Caenorhabditis elegans: one gene and its partners. The protein of the gene in region 2 purifies or fractionates together with the protein of the main gene of each other region. This does not show direct contact. Each region holds a gene or a part of one and is shown on either strand. Other genes may lie near its edges. The genes, in order: maoc-1, gly-3, usip-1 and arr-1.

Evidence for each region.
Region 1: the proteins of gly-3 (region 2) and maoc-1 fractionate together in Caenorhabditis elegans (co-fractionation; one large-scale study listed by BioGRID). This does not show direct contact.
Region 3: the proteins of gly-3 (region 2) and usip-1 fractionate together in Caenorhabditis elegans (co-fractionation; one large-scale study listed by BioGRID). This does not show direct contact.
Region 4: the proteins of gly-3 (region 2) and arr-1 fractionate together in Caenorhabditis elegans (co-fractionation; one large-scale study listed by BioGRID). This does not show direct contact.

What each region holds. Positions count from the first base shown.
Region 1 is NC_003280.10:7,194,525-7,198,044, reverse strand, and holds maoc-1 (MaoC-like domain-containing protein), read right to left. Parts: upstream 1,770-3,520; 5' UTR 1,708-1,769; coding exon 1,620-1,707; intron 1,572-1,619; coding exon 1,430-1,571; intron 1,384-1,429; coding exon 906-1,383; intron 843-905; coding exon 654-842; 3' UTR 550-653; downstream 1-549. Other genes in the region: E04F6.6 (uncharacterized protein), read left to right, coding at 1-136, 291-524; acdh-12 (Very long-chain specific acyl-CoA dehydrogenase, mitochondrial), read left to right, coding at 3,282-3,446, 3,493-3,520.
Region 2 is NC_003281.10:7,913,768-7,919,568, reverse strand, and holds gly-3 (Polypeptide N-acetylgalactosaminyltransferase 3), read left to right. Parts: upstream 1-1,801; 5' UTR 1,802-1,810; coding exon 1,811-1,956; intron 1,957-2,004; coding exon 2,005-2,159; intron 2,160-2,211; coding exon 2,212-2,597; intron 2,598-2,780; coding exon 2,781-3,653; intron 3,654-4,427; coding exon 4,428-4,577; intron 4,578-4,689; coding exon 4,690-4,818; 3' UTR 4,819-5,258; downstream 5,259-5,801. Other genes in the region: Putative protein tag-250, read left to right, coding at 1-182, 238-302, 800-1,023, 1,070-1,291.
Region 3 is NC_003283.11:12,181,001-12,186,094, forward strand, and holds usip-1 (U6 snRNA-specific terminal uridylyltransferase), read right to left. Parts: upstream 3,195-5,094; 5' UTR 3,176-3,194; coding exon 3,026-3,175; intron 2,973-3,025; coding exon 2,847-2,972; intron 2,799-2,846; coding exon 2,523-2,798; intron 2,465-2,522; coding exon 2,378-2,464; intron 2,332-2,377; coding exon 2,149-2,331; intron 2,107-2,148; coding exon 1,942-2,106; intron 1,896-1,941; coding exon 1,648-1,895; intron 1,599-1,647; coding exon 1,451-1,598; intron 1,405-1,450; coding exon 1,147-1,404; intron 1,093-1,146; coding exon 745-1,092; 3' UTR 501-744; downstream 1-500. Other genes in the region: elpc-3 (Elongator complex protein 3), read right to left, coding at 1-246, 291-410; srd-4 (G protein-coupled receptor), read left to right, coding at 3,949-4,136, 4,345-4,846, 4,892-5,094. UniProt on the Caenorhabditis elegans protein: Acts as a specific terminal uridylyltransferase for U6 snRNA. Responsible for the addition of UTP at the 3' end of U6 snRNA which stabilizes U6 snRNA. Does not have activity towards modified uridine containing 3'-monophosphorylation or 2'-O-methylation.
Region 4 is NC_003284.9:949,234-954,762, forward strand, and holds arr-1 (Beta-arrestin arr-1), read left to right. Parts: upstream 1-1,548; 5' UTR 1,549-1,574; coding exon 1,575-1,606; intron 1,607-1,674; coding exon 1,675-1,766; intron 1,767-2,082; coding exon 2,083-2,366; intron 2,367-2,449; coding exon 2,450-2,550; intron 2,551-2,601; coding exon 2,602-2,746; intron 2,747-2,796; coding exon 2,797-2,954; intron 2,955-3,315; coding exon 3,316-3,459; intron 3,460-4,331; coding exon 4,332-4,485; intron 4,486-4,552; coding exon 4,553-4,632; intron 4,633-4,686; coding exon 4,687-4,804; 3' UTR 4,805-5,000; downstream 5,001-5,529. UniProt on the Caenorhabditis elegans protein: Adapter protein required for olfactory adaptation and recovery to volatile odorants, probably by desensitization of G-protein coupled receptors (GPCR). May play a role in clathrin-mediated GPCR endocytosis.

The DNA of each region.
Region 1 (3,520 bases), on a different chromosome or scaffold from region 2:
TATTGGTGTAAGAGACTATTGGTCACAATATCAAGAAATCGGAGCAAATTGGTATGAAGGAAAATATGGATATAAGTCTGGATGGAGTGTTCCACTTGTACAATCACTTGGTATTGAAGGAGACACACATGCTGTTGTGAGTTTTTTTAATGCAGAAAATTTATTACTCGAACTTTTTCAAATTTGGCGGTTCATAATTTGAATTCGAGTTTAGAGAAGCATTGCGTACATTTTTTAATATTTGAAGCGGTGTGTGACAAGTTGAATAAGTTCCTATCAAAATATTTCAGGTGAGTGTTCCCCTTAAACCTGGAGAGGCTGGAAAACCAATTGGCGTAGATGTTGGAGGTGGAGTTGGACCTTATTATCAACAGAATCAACACGTTGGAGTTGATTATCTAAATGGTCAAGTTGGTACAAACTTTGGAGTTGGTGTTCCGATGGCTGGTGTTGGGGTGAATACAGGTGTTGGTGTAACATTCCCAGGAGTCAATGATATTGTTGGGAAGAAGAAAAGGAAATAATAATCTTCAAGAGAATTTGTGGAAAAAGAAAAAAACGGTTTATTCACATATGATATTCAGGAAACAAAATACGATAAAACTAATACGATCTACTTAATCTTACCAGTGAATAAATAATTCTTTAAATTTTTACAATTTTGATGCAAGATCAATTGGAACTGTTGGAAGTTCGGAAGCCTCGTGCAAGTCAATAAAGGCGTTGGAAATTACAATTTTTCCAGTTTCCTTAACCTTCATTTGGAAAATAATTCGTTTTCCATTCTTCCAGGTTTCAGTAACCAATGTTTGTCCTGGAAGCACTGGCGATGAGAATCGAACCTGAAAATTAATGATTTTTGAATCAGCAGAAAATATTTTAAAGTTAAATTTAATCAAACCTACCTTGATTGCTTTGAATTTGTCAGAATCATTTCCAGCCCAAGCAGCGATAACATGGCGTGTCGCAAATCCCAGACTGCACAATCCATGAAGAATTGGAGTTTTGAATCCAGACATCTTAGCAAACTCTGGATCAACGTGAAGAGGATTCATATCTCCTGATCCCAAACGATAAAGAGCAGCTTGATCAACTGTTGTCTTTTGTTCAATAACTGCATCTGGAGCTCTATCTGGGACAGTGGCAGCTTTTATTTCATGAGGTGATGTACGATCCCCTCCGAAGTTACCAGAACCGGTTTGAAAAGTACTGAATTGTTGCATTGCAATCTTCTTTCCATTTTCATCATAAGTGGTAACATTTCCAAGAATCAAAGCACCGGATCCTTTGTCAAGAATATCAACGACTCTAGCTTCAGATTTCAATTTTCCTTCTGCTGAAAGTGGTTGATAGACTTCAATATATTGTTCTCCGTGAAGAACTCTAAAATGATTAAACATGTGTTTTCAAGAAATCTTATAAGAAAAACCTCTGAAGATCAAATTCAACTCCTGGCCAATCCATCAAAGTGTGAGCTTGAAATCCTGGAGCAACAATGTACGATGGAAGCACTTTAAAGTCTTCATGGTTCTCATAAACGTAGCACAAATCTTCTTTCGCTCGAGCACCAACTAAATGAAATTATTAATCACTATTCAAAAGGTCTTAGAAAAAATTACCTCCAAGAGCATAAATAATAGCATCTCTGGTAGAATATGAGAACTCGCATGGCTCTGCCACATGTGCGCAAGCAGTTTTCTTATCCATTTTTAAGTATTTGTCGGAGAAGAAACAAAAACCAAATAATGAAATAGAAAATGCCAATACCTAACAAGGAATCGGTACAGTGTAGTCTTGACCCCATGTGTTGATAAGACTACGCTGCAGACTACATAACGAGGGTGAAATCAATAGTTTTTTTTTAAAAATAAGCACTAAAAGAATTATTACCACATACTGATAATTATTAGATGTTTTAAATAATTTGCAAAAAAAGTATACAAGGCTTTAAATTTCAATTAAAAAATATATAAAAACTAGACTTTTGTCGGGAGAGATGTACAACGTGTTCATAGTATACTATAGTATTTGGGTTTCAACTTATAGAAAATGATCGAATAAATTTCCTTCGTTTTGAATTTTGAAGCGAAGCACGCACAAAAATTAATAGACCAGTTTCAGATTTCTCTTAATTCAGAAACATTCATCAAATACCTATGACGCCTTGTCGTCTGTTCAATAAAATTAACATGGAAGGTCGATTTATTTTTTCCGATATTTAAACAACCAAGGATTGTTTGTCGACTGTTAAATAGCTAAATTACAGTATCCATTCTACGAACCATTTCTCTTTCTTTAATTAAAAAAATAAAGCTTATTTTTTCGCGTAAAAGCCTTCCGAAAAATTCACACGTTTTCAAACTTGTGCATTCGCTAAATTAGTTTATATTTTCACTCGTTCACTTTCGTACATTGAAAGAATTCCAAATTCCATACGGTTCGTTTCTATAATGTACAGATTTATTCAGATGTAAAAAACATTAAAACATGAGCCGTCAAATATAGTGCCGACGGTGTGAACACACCACCGTAACACCGTGACGACAGATTGCGGATTCATTTTTCTTTCAGAGTACGATGCAGAAAACTTCTGTAATTGTCGTTTTTTTTCTATTTTAATTTATTTTGTGGCCGTTAAAGATAAAATATAAGACAACAAGTGTTCATACGAATTTTTCAGTACCATGAGGTGACCCGTAGAGCTATAAAATCATGTTTTTCTTGAAAATTTCATCGAACCTGCGCTAAAGTGTATTTTATCACATTGTCTTTTCACTAGTGCGTAGCCAGGGCCGTTCAAAGTACATAGGGCAAAGTCTACAAGAGATAACAATGACCGTCCTCCACGTTTCCTCTCCATCGTTTGTGTATGTTGGCGATTAATCAGTTTATTATGGAAAATTTACGAAAAATACTGAGCAAACCATGTTTCCAGTTATTTTTAGTTAACTTTTAAACTTCTTATTTTATGAAACACTCTTTTATGTAATCCAAAAAAAGCAAAAAACCTATTCGTTCTTTTTTGCGTTCATATAAAATGCTAAATACTTTTCTATAAAACTTATTCTGAATTCTATTTATTTTGATTGCTCTTGGACGTTCAGTGTAAAAAAGTATTGTTATGTCTGTGTTCTATGTTCTCTCACATGCTGCGTCTCTGCTCTATCCACCGTTCGACCCCCAAGTTGTTTTCTTCACTCTTTATCTCCGTCATCGCTATTTACCCCCTACTGATTCACTGATTGAAACCTATATTATTGGTTTTTTCTTCCAGAGAAACGATGCTGTCAACGCTGAGTAAATCTGCACGGCTCAACCAAACACGATTCATTCGTCTTTCGCATTCTGCTGCTGCTGCAAAAGATGCAAAACCGAAGAAGGTCGCTGCAGTGGACAGTCCATCATTTGTCATGAATCTTTTCAGAGGGAAAGCTGTGACTGACCAGGTATTTGAGAATTTTAGCAGGACCTGTTCAAACTGCCAATTTCCAGGTGTTTCCGTATCCTCTGAATATGACTG
Region 2 (5,801 bases):
ATGACCGTTGCTCAAATGCCGATGTCAGCGTTCCCAGCAAATGCAATTTTCGCTGCAGGACCCACGGACATCTCATTACGGCAACTTTCATTAGACCCGATGCCCGATTATATGTATGCAAAGTTGAAAGACGAATGTGCTCTGCCTGATTCTCAACTGGAAAGTTCTCCTGATTTTGGAGGGTGAGACTTTTTTTTTTGATTTGAAAAAATTTAAGCTAAATATTTGAAAATTTAGATTCTACGCGGCTTTTATCGATGATCGTTGGGAACGTGTTCAGTGTATTCGTGCGAGTAAAATTGGTAGGTATATTTATTTATTATTTTATTTACTGTACCAGGAAATTTTTGAAAAAAAAATTTTCGAAAATTACTGTACCAGTTCTCGACACAACAAATTTTCATTAAATACAAGAGGCTGTGCGCTTTTAAAAAGTACTGTAAATCAAAAGATCTCGTTACTTTGGAATTTTTATAGTTTTTCGTAAAAATGTTTGAAATTACAGTACTCTTTAAGACGCACACATCTTTTCATTCAACATAAATTTGTCGCGTCGAGACCGAATACCGTAACTTTGAAAAAAATTGCAAAAATAGTTTTGTAATATTGAACTGTGATTTTGGAAAAATTTAAATATCCTGTTCAAAATTGCACTTTTGAAAAAGTAAATAAAACAATTGTGAGTTTCTCAGTATATCTGAATTTTTCGCACATTTTTCCCAAAAAAAAAAACAAAACATCTACAATCTTGCTGAGTATTATACCTTTTTTCCTTGAAATGTCCATCTTTTTTTTTCAGACAAACAAGCCTATTGTGTATATCTTCTGGATGTGGGCGCTTTCCAATACGTGCGAAAAGAAGCAATGCGACGTCTCAACTCCACGTCACCATTCAAAAAAATGCTGATGTTCAAGTGTAAAATCGGAGGAATCAAACCAGTTGCTGGAGGAGAAGTTTGGAGCCGCGAGTCACATGAAGCTGTTCGAGAATTCTTTGAAGCAGCATGTGGTGAACCTGTTGTGGTAAGTCATGAAAAGAATACTTTCAAATGCAAATTAATTATTTCAGGTTGAACCAACTCAGCCTGGATGGTCTCAATGGAAACAATTAAATGCTCCAGCTGTTCCAACCTGTGAAGCTCGTTTATCTTGTTGTGGTAGAGATATTGGTGACTGGCTCATCGCGTGTGGTTTGGCTCTTCCAATAAATGCACCAATTCCAAGTCCCAATTCACAGTCACTTCTTACTTTTGTTCCAACACCAATTAATATTGTTGGCAGAAATATTTGAATATTTTCTGATCCGTCTTCATTACAAAGCTTCTAATCAATTTTGTGCTTTATTTTTTTCTAATTTTTGAATATTGTATATTTTCATAATTCCTCAGTTTTGCCGATTAGTAGTCTTTCTCTGAAAATTCAAAAATATTTGCTCAGTTTTCCACTTTTCTCTTCAGTTTTTATTCTTTCTAGTTTCATAATTCTGTGATAATTTCAGTTTTATTGTCTTTTAATTATTTTTGTGCTTCTCGTATATTTTGCTTGTTGGAATAATAATTGTTAAAAAATTTTAAAAAATTTGTTCACGGTTTATTAGTTTTGATATAAAACGTGTTCAAATAGACACGTATTAATATTTTTATTTGAATTTTTAAAACCATTTTTTTGTATTCTCTATCACAAAAGTTATCATGTTTTCAATTTTCCAGTACTATTCAAGAAAATTTAGCCTTGTTAAATAATTTTGATCGGAATTTATCTTCTTTTTTCCCCTGAATTTTTAATCATTCTCTAATTTCAGAGTAATTGAATGCTGAGTGTGGGCGGTGGTCGTTCGGCAGTATGTCGTGCTGTCATTGCCACTTCCATCGTCTGGTTGCTCATTGATGTTGTTATTCTTTTTTACTATCTCGATCCATCCACATCACAACAACAGCCATTTCCGGAGGATAACAGGTATTCTATTAAAATTATTTACATCAACTAATTGTTATCATTTTTAAGAATCTTGAATCGTGCTCGACGGATAGAACCACTACCACCAGCAGCTCAACATGATTCAGATCCAGATGCTCATCCTATTCAACCTGAAAAACAAGAGAAACAAGTTTACCCCGTTGACAAAGAAACTGCAAATCAATTGAGGAAACTTATGGAAAGTGAGCTATTGCAAAATATAAAAATTTATATTTAAACAATTGTGTATTTCAGCTCAAGCATTTGGCCCAGGGTACCATGGACAAGGAGGTACTGGAGTCACAGTTCCAGAAGACAAAAAAACTATAAAAGAGAAGAGATTCTTGGAGAATCAATTCAATGTTGTCGCTTCTGAAATGATTTCAGTTAATAGAACTCTACCGGATTACCGATCAGATGCATGCCGCACGTCTGGAAATAATTTGAAAACTGCTGGAATGCCAAAAACTTCCATTATTATTGTTTTCCATAATGAAGCATGGACAACACTATTGAGAACACTCCATTCGGTTATCAATCGATCGCCACGTCATTTATTGGAAGAAATTATTTTGGTGGACGATAAGTCTGATCGAGATTACTTGGTCAAACCGTTGGATTCCTATATCAAAATGTTCCCAGTAAGTTATATAAGTTGAATTGTAAATTGCGACTTCCGAAATACAGTAACCCTAGTTCTTCGTTAAAGGATGGAGACAAAAAATTTCCATCTCAGGGATAGCCAGAACACAGAAAATTTGAATAATAAAACGAAAATTTTTCGATTTTTCGATATTAGACTTAAACAGACAACCTTTTTTCAGATTCCAATCCACTTGGTTCATCTCGAGAATCGATCCGGTCTAATCCGTGCTCGCTTAACCGGATCTGAAATGGCGAAGGGAAAGATCCTTCTCTTCCTGGATGCACATGTGGAGGTTACCGATGGATGGCTTGAACCACTTGTATCAAGAGTCGCTGAAGACAGAAAACGAGTTGTTGCTCCTATAATTGATGTAATTTCTGATGATACCTTCGAATATGTGACTGCTTCCGAAACAACATGGGGTGGATTTAATTGGCATTTGAACTTCCGATGGTATGCTGTACCGAAGAGAGAATTGAATAGAAGAGGATCAGATAGATCAATGCCTATTCAAACACCAACTATTGCCGGTGGTCTTTTTGCTATTGATAAGCAATTTTTCTATGATATTGGAAGTTATGATGAAGGAATGCAAGTATGGGGTGGAGAAAACTTGGAGATATCATTCCGAGTCTGGATGTGTGGAGGTTCTCTTGAAATTCATCCATGTTCTCGTGTTGGACACGTTTTCCGCAAACAGACTCCATACACTTTCCCAGGTGGAACAGCGAAAGTCATCCATCATAATGCAGCACGTACAGCAGAAGTTTGGATGGACGAATACAAGGCATTCTTCTACAAAATGGTGCCAGCCGCCCGTAACGTTGAAGCTGGAGATGTTAGCGAAAGAAAGAAGTTGCGAGAGACGTTGCAATGTAAATCATTCAAGTGGTATCTGGAGAACATCTATCCAGAAGCACCATTGCCTGCAGATTTCCGATCGCTTGGAGCAATTGTGAATAGATTTACTGAAAAATGTGTTGATACGAACGGAAAGAAAGATGGGCAAGCTCCAGGAATTCAAGCATGTCATGGTGCTGGTGGAAATCAGGTTTGTGCTTTTGATTTGACGTTAAAATACTGTATTACCCAAAAGCGAGATTTTTTGATTTTTGCGGTACTACGGTACCCGGTCTCGACACGACTAACTTTCGTTAAATGCAAAAGGGTACGCCCCTTCAAAGTATACTGTAATTTCAAACTTTTTTTGACGCGGAAACTTCATCAAATTATCATAGAATTTCGATAACGATATATTTGACTGCTTGAAAAACTCAAATAAAACAATCAAAACAGATAACTTTAAAAAAACAATTTGAAATCGGTGAAAATTCCGCGGCACCAAATGTTAAAAACTACAGTATTCTAAAAAGGCGCAAACTTTTTTGGAATTAACTAAAGTTGATCGTGTCGAGACCGAGTACCGTATTTTTGGCGCAAAAATAACTGAATTTCGCTTCTGATAACAAAACAATTAATTTCGTATCTTTGAAATTCCTCTTTACCAAAAACGACAGTACCCTTCCTAAAAACATTAATTCGCGTTATTTTTATTAATGCTTTTTACTAACACTTTCAACTAACAGACTATACAATTTGCTGATGGCCACAAACTACTAATAATATCTGATCAGCGAGATATGAGATATGAACGGGCTCCGTTTCTTGCGAATTATCAGGTTTTGGTGAAGAGAGTGAATTGGGATGGTTTTTATTTTAAGTTTTGGGAAATATTTAAGTTTGGGATTTACCGGTGAAAACTACGTTTCTCTCTCCCCTCTCTATATAACTCGTATTCTAATATTAAACATTAAATAAGTTCCAGGCATGGTCATTGACTGGAAAAGGAGAAATTCGATCGGATGACTTATGTCTTTCATCTGGACATGTATATCAAATAGGATCAGAGCTCAAATTGGAACGTTGCTCCGTGAGCAAAATCAATGTTAAACATGTTTTCGTGTTTGACGATCAGGTAAGAGAACCAGAATTTTACATTTTAAGCTCAGCAAGTAAAGAACATTATCTTAATTCGGAAAATACTTTCTAGTTTATCTATACACTAAAATTTTTTTCCGCTATTTCAGGCCGGTACATTGCTCCACAAGAAAACAGGAAAATGTGTAACAGGCGCCGATCAACGGGTGACACTGGATGAATGTGGTCTCGGACGGAAAGATCAAATGTGGCAATTAGAAGGATATCAGAGCCCTTAGAGCATCTTTTATTTTATTTTTATTCTCATAAAACGTCACAATTTCTTATTTTCTCCCATTATATCCTCCCATTTTCCACATTTTCAGTATTGATTTCAGTCCAAAATTCTCTCTCGGTGTCCATCGTTTTCCTATTTTCCCTCTCAAAATCGTCCATACCACCAGTGCCTTCATATTAGAGTTGCGAGTGCACTCTAACGAGAATTTGTGAGAAAAATTCAACTTTTTCGGCCTATAATAATTGTAATTTATGTAATTGTGATAGCCTTTGAGATTCGAGCATAATTTATTTATTGATCCCCCATTTCCCTTCAAAAATATCCATTTTCATTGCATTTCACTCCATTCTCAATCCATTCCAAAATCGTTTTGGTTGTGAAACTCTATTACTACGTCTCTTTTTTTCCTTTTACGAGTTCAATAATAAGTTGAAATTTAAAAAAAAGTTTATTCTACAAAAGTCAATGTTCAGGTAGCTTTCATAAGAATCGTGACATCTCCTTGTTGAGCACCAGCTTTGAGTGGTCCCCTGAGCATCTGTCTCATCAGCAGGAACTTCAGCATATTGAAGCATGGTTTTTTTATCATCTTTAACCTGTGACCTTCGATGCGAATTGTCTCAAATTTCATTGTTCCTTTTGCCTCGACAAATCCATATACGGGACGAACTCGGTAGTGCTCATTATTTGATGACTTCGCCGAAATATAACATTTGTTCTGTTTCCGTTTCAAGGGGACATGATTTTTTAAAATGGTCTCTCTATGCGACCTGCATTTAGAAAACATTTATGTACAGTTTTTGCAAAAATTGCAGATTTAGGTTTGCAGATGCAGAAAATTGTGAGCAAGACTAATAGATATGTGAATGAGACGAATAAATTGCGACCTACATGTAATATTTTGTACAGTTATCTTCAAGGCGCACAATACAAAACTGATTAGAAAAAATGTAGTGTGCGCGGCGAGACCATTTTTGTATAAAC
Region 3 (5,094 bases), on a different chromosome or scaffold from region 2:
ACTTTGTGTTGAATACTCGAAATCAGAATCTGGCCCACCGGGACAATAGACACAAATGTTTCCAGTGAAATTGATGTGAGGACAACGATGTGGTTTGCTCATCACTGCTACAACAGCAATTCCAGAAGCAGTTCGAACTGGTTTTGCCTTGAGTTTTGGAAGAAGGCTGTCTTTGTAATCGGACGGAACTCCAGCGATAATGTCAACGAGTTTCGGTTGAAAACTCAGTCCATTCTTTTGAGCAACCTGAAAATATTTATTGAAATGTGTTTTACCGCCTAACCACATACGATGCATTTCAGCCGATTCAAGTTGACATCCTTTTTTTGATTGTGAGCTTCAATAAGAAGCTTGACAATTTCATTTATTGTTTGTGCCAGTAGTGCTCTTTGTGAACCCTTCTGATCCATCTGAATACAGTTTTGATACATTTCCTATTCAAATTGATGTTTTAGATATAAATTGGAATATTAACCGACAATGAACTCAAAAATCGCTTTCAAGATGACCAGTGTATTTCAAACTTAGAAATTTCGATATACATAAATAGAACACAGACCGAGAAGTGATCATGAAAGTTGGGTGTTGAATATAATAAAGCGGAAAAATTATTTGTTGAGATTCAATGGAAAATGGTCACTGGGTGACGTGTCAGAAAAATACCGGAATAAATATGAAATAAAATATATGGTGGATCATACATACAAATCGAATTCATAGAACACTTATACATTGAGAACATGATTATGGCCAAGTTGGGGCTGCAATTGGAATCCTGGAAATGGTTTGAACGCCATTCTTCTCGAGGTCATCGTAGTTATTGTTAATGAATTGATCAATCAAAAAGTGGATTGCGTCGCGAACTTCGGAAACTTGACCACGCATTATATCGATGCATGCCAACCTAATTCTGGTGCCAGGAACAGTGCTCATCGAGATACGCAACTCCGCAATATCTTCTTCGTAATCGTACTTGTCACTGCACATAACATCAATCTGGAGAGGCGTCAAATCGTGACGAGAGTTTTTCAAAGCGCGTTTCGTATTGCGACGTCCAACCCAAGCTCTTGAAGTTACAAGGAAAATGGCACCCTGAAATTAATAGTAGTTGTAAACGTCACATTCTTTCTATTCTATAGAACTAACCGTTGGAGTACATAAATCAACAACACTGGGTCCTTGCTCATTCGGACAGACATTAAAGCGAAGAACTCTAGTAAGAAGGAGGAAAAGATCACTCGAGGTTATCACCACGGCTGGAAGTTGTACTGACAAGTACTGGTGCTCGGCTCCATCAGTTACTCTAGTTGATATACTGATTTTTGGCTCTCTGCTCTTCATAAGCATAGTAGCCATCGTGTTGGTTTCCAGAAGATAGTTGATGTGAAAATGATTTTGTTTCAACTGAAAATATAACTTTTAATCCATAAACAATCAAAATAATGCTTACAATGAAAAGAGCGTTCCGAATAAGACCATTTAGTAGTTTGACCGCGTCTTCTGTTACTTTTGCCGAAATATTATGAGTAATATCCATGGGATCCATCAACATCAACGGAGATTCTTCAACGCCTCCGTGCGCACTTGAGAGTGTTTTTCTAAAAAAAAATATACAAATTAGTTGTGAGAAATTAGTTTTTAACTTACTTTTGCATCGCTTTCTTCCCGTAAATCGCTTTGTTCGTAAAATCAAAGTTGGCATAGTATTTGAAAAGCTCTCGGAAAAACTTGCAATAATCGCCGAACAGAGTGTCAAAGTTGTATTCATTGACTCGAGAATCTCGCTTTGCTTGAGGATTCACATGAACCTTGTTGGTTGCTGCTTGAACAAAATGAATAACGAGCTGATTGATGATGTAAGAGTTCAGCTTTGTCTTGACTTCAAGCTTCTCTTCCTAAAATAATGAAGTTTAAGAACTGCCTAATTCAATATATAATTACCGGATAGTCACCCGATAGCAACTTATTTGATTTTGCCCAGTGTACGATGAACATCATTGCATTTTTCATTCTACTTCCCTTCGACTTGTCTTTTACGATGAATTCATGCAACAAGCTCGCCTTCTCAACACTGATTTGATTGTGAACTGATAGATCGTATGACACCTGAAATGAATGAATTATCAATGTTTGAAAGCGTCAACATACATTCATTCCTTCCACTTCGATATTTTTGAAGACTATGATTGGAGTGCGTGCAGGTAAGAAACGCATCTCGAATTTAGTTTTGAATGCACTGTTCTCGTTGAAGCACCGGTAGAGAATTTTGATAATTTCCTCTTGTGGGTATGTCTCAAGCTCCGATTTGGTTAGTGGATGAGTGATGAGACACTGTAATTGTATATTGTTTCAGGACAATTTACAGTAATTTTTGTACCTTTGGATTTGCCACAACTTCGTTCAATGGTCTTACATTTGTAGAAACGCGTTGACCTGGAGCGCTGACTGATTCCACGTTAATGTCCTAAAAACATTATTGTTTCTTAATAAAATAAAATAAAATTATTTTTCTAACAACTTACAATGTCTGAGTAACCATTTCGCCGCACCGGTGATGCAAAAGAGCCGAACATCTCACAAGCAGAATTTTGAATGAGCTCAGAAACCCCTTGTTCAATGAAGGAAAATCCATCTTCGAGAATTTTTAAGCGTTCAGGAAGTTCTTGACAGATAGCCATTGTCAACACTTCCAAAAGCTCGTCGTTATTGAAGTGCGGTTGCGAAGTTTTCATGAAATCAATGGCATCTTGAAGTCTGAATCCGTTCAAGCCTAGAAGGGGAGTGAACACGATTTTCGTCTGAAAATAAAAGGAATTGTATACAATCAGCTAAAAATAATTATTTACATTGTTGATTGCAAATCCTTTAGCGATGGAATCGTGGCAAATCCTGTTGGCTTCATCTATTGATTCCATTTGCAATATCATAAACTGATCTTGATCTTCAGGTGTTGGAGAGTATCCTATTTTCTCCTAAACGGTTTAATTTCAAATGCTTGTTTTCACAGCATAACAATATTTTTTACCTTACAACCAAGTTTATACTCAACCGACTCCACGAAGACAACGACAGCAATTGCAGAAGGAACCATAGCTGTCGTATCATTTCGATTCCAACGAGCAACAACGAATTGACGACTATCAAACGTTTCAACCAGTTGCAAGTTTGAAGACATTATCGCATAACTGAAATATCTGGAAAAATATATAATTTTAGGTAAACAAAGAGGATGGAGAATGGAATCATGCGTTGCCATGGAATCGAATACACTAGGGAATCTTCGTCGAAAATTCGAGCAAAACAATTTTCATTATAATAAACAACACATTGCATTTTGTTATAGGTTACAAATTAATTGGAACGTGCGCATTCAGGGATTTAAATTTTGCGTTTATCAGAATAATAATAAAAAAAGAGTAACAAATTTTAAATAGATTCGCGCAATAAAAAAGTTTTTCGAAAAATGACTGAAAAACTGAGTTGATAAACTACACGCGCATCGTTATATCGGAGTGTCGTAAGTGGCGGATTTTCAAATAAATTTTTATTGACAAATTTTAGTTGTGGACCTAGTACTAGTATGTATTTGTCTAGTAAGTTTTCTCTGCATTGCCTTTCTAAAGGGAAAAAGTTGTTTTTAAAAAAAATTATTAAATAAATTTTATAAAATTGTCTTAGAAATTATTTGCATTGATTGATCAGAATCCTTCTAATCAACCAAAACTTATGCCTGCTTAAAAATTATAAACATCATTCCATAAACATCGGTCTTTCAAAGATTGAATTTGAATTAATAATATTTTTTATTTGGAATTGAGTTCGTCTACAAACGAAAAAATAAACGGAAATTCGATTCTGATTGCTGGGATTCGAATAAAAGGACAAGCATAACATAAATCGGAAATCGAATTTAGTATATAAATGTAAAAATATCAAAAATGTACAAAGATGTTCCTTTTGGTTATATTTATTCTACACTATGTGCTCGCTTTTCTCGGAATTGTTTTCAATACGATTTTGATTTTTCTAACTTTATTCAGAAGCCCTAAATCTATTGGAACATTTTCTATATTATTGACTGTCAGAGGTGGATCTGATGCACTTGCTTGTTTTTTTGATATTTTCAGTCAATCAAGGTAATTTCCAAATTTTATTTTGCATTTCCTAGCAATGCACCATGTTCTCGATATGCTCTAGTTTCTTCCAATAATGTCAAAATTAAGCAGGGCCGTTTTCATGTTTTCCACGCTTATATATAATTCATGAGATTACACTTTCAAAAAAGAACCCAAATTTTTTCTTTATACTCCAATGGCGAGTTGAGCTATATATAATTAATTTCAGATTAATCCCAAGTGGTACAACACTTGGAATTGCTTCAACTGGACTTTGCAAATATCTCAGTGAATGGTCTTGTTTTCTGGGTTTCAGTCTTCAACTTCATTTTCATTCATATTCTTTTCATCTTCTAATTCTCTGTTTTATATTCCGATGTTATGTTCTTCTGGAAAGATATCCAAAAGCTAAACAGCTTATCATTTTAATTTGCATTATATACTTCCCATCATACTTGCAAGCAATTTTCGTATTCATTGATAACAACAAGCCAGAAGATGTTCGACAACTTATTCAAATTCATCATTCTCAATATAAATTACAAGATTTTGTTATAAATGGACATGCTGATCTTCGAGAATTTCCGTGTTTGTTTTCATATCTTCTAATGCTTATTCCAATTATCCCTGGATATTTGATTATGTATGGGCTCCGCCGAAAAATACACTTCAAGTTACGAAATGCAATTCTCCGTCCGGAAATTCGAGAAAAACATAGACAGCTGACTTGGGTTAGTCTGAAAATGTAAATTATTTTGAAATATGATTTATTGCAGGCACTGACAGTTCAGACTATTGTTCCAATTGCTTTTATATTCTCATCAATTTGTTTCCTACTTGGTCAGCTGAGGATCGTTGAATCTCCAGTTCTTGAAAGTTTCACACTTCTTTTTGCCGTTTTGGTTCCCGTTATCAATCCATTGATTACCGTTACTTTTATCAAACCGTATCGAGAATCTGTCATGAGAGCAGTTGGAAT
Region 4 (5,529 bases), on a different chromosome or scaffold from region 2:
CTTGCCAAAATTTTAAAGTTGTGTTCAAATGATTAACTGTCATGGTTGGACAAAGAATTGAGCTTTTAACAATTTTTTTAAAAACAAATCACTGCAAGTTGTCTTTCAAAAAGGAAGTTATAAAGAAAATGTTCGATGTAGAAAAGCAATGTCAAAAACAGCTCAATAACAATGCCAAAATCAATAAACAAACCGGTTAAGGTGGTATTGAGCAACAAAAAAAAGAAGCGAGAAAAGTAAAGTTAATAGGCTGTTTTTCGCGTATTCTCTCTTTCTCTCTTTGCCTATTTTTCCAAACAGAGATACAACGAGAGAATGAGAGACGACACAATTGTGACATAGACACACACACATACACAATGAGATATTACAAGGGATAGAGAAGGGAGGAAGAGGGGTTTATGGGTGCATTGGTGGGTGCTCTCTCCCTCTCTTCATCTCACTCTCTGTGCGGTGTCTCAATCCGCCCGATCATCCTCACCGGTTTCGAGAAGGAGGCGTACGCAATGTGTCGTCGTTTGTGGCGCAATTGCGGACGCCCCCGACCGCATCATTTGTTTTCAAATGAGGACTCCTGGCCAAACATACATGCTAATTTTTTGCTCTCCATCTCTCTCTCACTGCACACATTTTTTCGCTTAGACTTGTGGTTTTTGAAAGTTTTAATTAAGAAAAATAACTTGAAAGTACTAGAAAGTTTAGAATGTAAGCTTCAGAACCTAATTAATAACTAATAGCTATATCGATTCATGTCACATTTTTGTTGGCACAGAGAAATTGGAAACCAGATAATAACGAGATTGGGAGTAGGAAAAATTGAAACCTATGTGTACATATGTACAATACCTAAGAAGGTATTCAATTTAACTCAATTAAGATAATTTTAATAACTAATTTTGGTTTTATTATAAGAGTAGCCAGTATGAAAAGGTCAAAACCTCAGCTAAAAGTTAATCTAAATTCATTCAGATCAACTAATCTAGGTATTTTACACCTGTTATTAAGGAGTAAATTATTTTCAAGTTTTATGCCGCTCTCGAAATTAAATCTTATATTCAGCTGTGAAACACTTGCCATATTTTTTGCACTGACCAACATGAGCAGCATTAAAATAGCACTGACCAACTTGAGCATCATTAAAATAGCACTGACCAAGTTTTCAATGTATTAGTCAACTTTTCCGCCACATACAAATTTTACAGTGAACAATAAACATATGAATCTTCGATCTTTTTTTTATTATTATTATTTTCAATAAAAAATAGTTGGAACGTTTTAATAGGTTCAAATGGTTCGCTTCATATTTTAATTAAATTATTTTTATTACGTCAGCAACTGGCAACACAGCTACTGCTATCGACTCCATATCCTTTGTCTTAAATAATTCTTGCTTCCTCCAATTTTATCCTCGAATCCAGAATTCAATTCGTAACGCGTATGATTTATTCAAAGTTTGACGCTTATTCTCGCTACGTTTTTCTCTTTTTCTCTCTTTTTTTTGCCTAGGTGTCATTCATTTCTCAATTTCGTTCACTTTTCAATTTTCAGCTCGATTGCTAGTTTACTAGTCAACAATGGTAGATGAGGACAAAAAATCGGGCACAAGGTTGGTGGAACTGGGAAAATAATTTTTTTTTAACTTTAAACGTATATAAAAAAAGACAAATTTTGCAGAGTGTTCAAAAAGACGAGCCCAAATGGAAAAATAACCACATATCTTGGCAAAAGAGATTTTATCGACCGCGGTGACTATGTCGACTTGATAGGTGAGAATAAGGGCACCGAGCCACAGAATGTGGGCTTTATACTGACTGGTTTATCGCGTGATTTGGTTTAGAGCGTTGATTGGTTTTTTGCGCGTTTTCTGAGTATGGAAGTCGGTTGGCAGAAACCTCGCAAATTTTCTATTCGACGTACAAAATAAGGAAAACGCTTTTATTGGTCATAGCACTGACAAAAAATGTTATAGCACTGACCAAAAATGTTATAGCACTGACAACATAGAAATGAACGCAATTACTGAATAGTGCGACTAAGACGGGAGTAGTCAAAAAATTTTACCCTATTAAGAATTAATTTTAGATGGAATGGTTTTGATCGACGAGGAGTACATCAAAGACAACAGAAAAGTGACAGCCCATCTGCTAGCAGCTTTCCGATATGGCCGAGAAGACCTCGACGTGTTAGGGCTCACATTTCGAAAGGATTTGATATCAGAGACATTCCAAGTGTATCCACAGACTGATAAATCAATTTCTCGACCGTTGTCTAGACTGCAAGAACGGCTGAAGCGAAAACTTGGTGCAAACGCGTTTCCATTTTGGTTTGAGGTTGCGCCAAAAAGTGCAAGTAGTGTTACTCTACAGGTTGGTTTTGTTTTTTTGTGGCCTGTTTTTTCTTATGAATTCAATGTTATGAATTTAGTAGTTAAAGCCTATCAAAATTTCAGCCAGCCCCCGGAGACACCGGCAAGCCATGTGGAGTGGACTACGAGCTGAAAACATTTGTGGCAGTAACTGACGGAAGTAGTGGAGAGAAGCCGAAAAAGAGGTAAGTATTTAGAATAATATATGGATTACAACAACGGAAATTAATTTTTAGCGCACTTAGCAACACTGTCCGTCTTGCCATCAGAAAACTGACCTACGCACCATTTGAATCCCGTCCCCAGCCAATGGTCGATGTATCCAAGTACTTTATGATGTCCTCAGGACTTCTCCATATGGAGGTCTCCCTGGATAAAGAGGTACCTCGAATTATTTTAATTCAATGTTAAGATAAACGTTCAAATTTTAGATGTACTACCACGGCGAGTCGATTTCAGTTAATGTGCACATCCAGAACAACAGCAACAAGACGGTCAAGAAGCTGAAGATTTACATCATTCAAGTTGCTGATATTTGTCTCTTCACAACTGCTTCGTATTCCTGCGAGGTTGCCAGGATTGAGAGCAAGTAAGATTTTTGTTTTACTATAATACATTTGATTCGAAAAAGTAGTACATCAGTTCGCATTCTGCCCTACTAGCGCTACACTACTCTTACAACATTCTAGTTTTCCACAGTTCACTGTCATTTCTAGAACGGAGGTACAGGAGATGCACAATTGATTGTTTCTTGTTCCCATGTAGCAAAATTTGACGTTTTAATACTTCAATTCTCTTCGTATCCCCTAAAAAAAGTTTCAGTAATTTTCATTTTTCTACGCCTCATTTTTTGTACAAAACAATTCATACATAAGTGTCCATCTCTATTTTAATATTCAATTCCTCATTCCACAATCTATTTTTGTCCTCTAATCCAATATTTATTTCAGCGAAGGATTTCCAGTCGGACCAGGCGGCACTCTTTCAAAGGTCTTCGCAGTGTGTCCTCTATTGAGCAACAACAAGGACAAGCGAGGGCTCGCATTGGATGGACAACTCAAGCATGAGGACACTAATTTAGCTTCAAGCACAATGTGAGTATAAAGTCGATAGGAAAGGGAAAGAGAGGGCGCGCAAACATATATATATATCGGGATGCCGAGAGAAGAAAATGGGGGGAAAGGGAAAAGAGAGGGTAAACTTCCGCCATTTCCTTACTCAGAAGGTTCAATTTCCCCCCGTCTCCTTCTACAAACGAATTTCGCCAGTTCTCCATCTACTTAGATACACTTTTTATGTTAAGCAAAAGAGTTCAGGAGAGTGGGGAACGAATTGAGATGTTTAATTGGATAACGTTTTGGAAAGAGGAATGTATGTTTGGAATGCATATCTGCTCACTAATGGAGAACCGGGGGGTTTTTATGAACAAAAAAATTGTCGATTATTTTCAATGGAAATTTCAAAGGATATTCAGAAACAGTTGGATAGGATGTGAGACATTTATTTATCTTTTTTTAATATTTAATTAGCACACTAAAGAACCACTAAGAAATGCTATATGTACATTGAAACGATACTGCATAGTTCAACGAACTATTTACAAGTTGGCTGCCGAGACCAGGCTACCGGCAAATGGGCAATTTATAAGTTACAGAACAAATATATCGTCAATGTTAAGTTTAAGAAAACCAAAAAATCCTTCCAATTTAAAGGATTGATTTGAAAAAGGAAACTAGAAATTTTCTACAATATGTATCAAGCTTGCTTACCATTCGACAATTCAAATTATGATAAATTTTGTTGGTATTCACTAGCCAGGCGATATGCGTGTATATACAAAAAATTTTAGTTCAAAAATGTGTTATAGCATGATTCTTAGTTAACAATTGTACGTCAAAATCCAAGACAACAATGATATGAGTTTGAGCAAAAATATTTTGGCAATCAAATAATTAATTTTTTGCAGATTGGACTCTAAAACATCAAAGGAAAGTCTTGGAATTGTAGTTCAATACAGAGTGAAAGTTCGCGCAGTTCTTGGACCACTAAACGGAGAACTGTTCGCCGAGCTGCCGTTCACATTAACACACTCGAAGCCTCCAGAGAGCCCCGAGAGAACGGTAGGTTTTAATTTTCAAAATAATTTTTTTACGAATCAAATTTTGAATCCATATTATTCAATTTCAGGATCGTGGCCTTCCATCAATCGAAGCAACAAATGGCTCCGAACCAGTCGATATTGATCTCATCCAACTACACGAAGAATTGTAAGTTTTTGATTAGAGTTGAATGATTCAATTTAATACACAATGATTTTTCAGAGAGCCCCGCTACGACGACGATCTAATCTTTGAGGATTTTGCCAGAATGCGTCTCCACGGAAACGATAGTGAAGACCAGCCATCGCCAAGCGCCAACTTGCCGCCAAGCCTTCTATGAATCTGTACAATTTATCACATGATATTGTGTCACTCTGTCATTCAACTTTTCTACGTCTTTTCCACCTTTTCCCCATTTTTCATTGTTTCTTTGTAAGTACATCTTTTTGTCTATGCTTCAAGTCAATTTTTCTGTCAAATTGTCACCTTTTTCGTTTTCTTTCATTTCATTTTTTCTCATATAAATCTATTTTGCCAATTTATTTTTAAAAATCAGATTCAAAGGTTTCAAATAATATTTCAATTGTTGTTGTTAATTATTGGAATGCTATCAGAAACCTTCTATGTAATTTTCAGATTGTGGGTCTGAATTCAACGATAATCTAGAAAAAAAAACTAAAACATCTATAAAAATACAAAAAATCATTTAATTGACTAAATAATATGTGTATGAAATCAATTTACAACTTGAAAAAACTTATGAGAAAATTTGAAAGCAAGTAAGTTGAAGATTTGTTTTTAATTGGCCAGTGCATTCAGAACTTTGATCAGTGCATTCCGAACTTTCGTCAGTTCATTCAGAAGTTTGGTCAGTGCATTCAGAAGTTTGGTCAGTGCATTCAGAAGTTTGGCCCTGGGAATTTTCAAATTCGATTAGTCCATTTTCAAATTCGGTCAGTGCATTTTTCAAATTCGATATGTGCGTTTTCAAATTAGGTCAGTGCATTGTCAAATTCGGTCAGTGCATTGTCAAATTCGGTCAGTGCATCATGTTTCCAAGTGAAA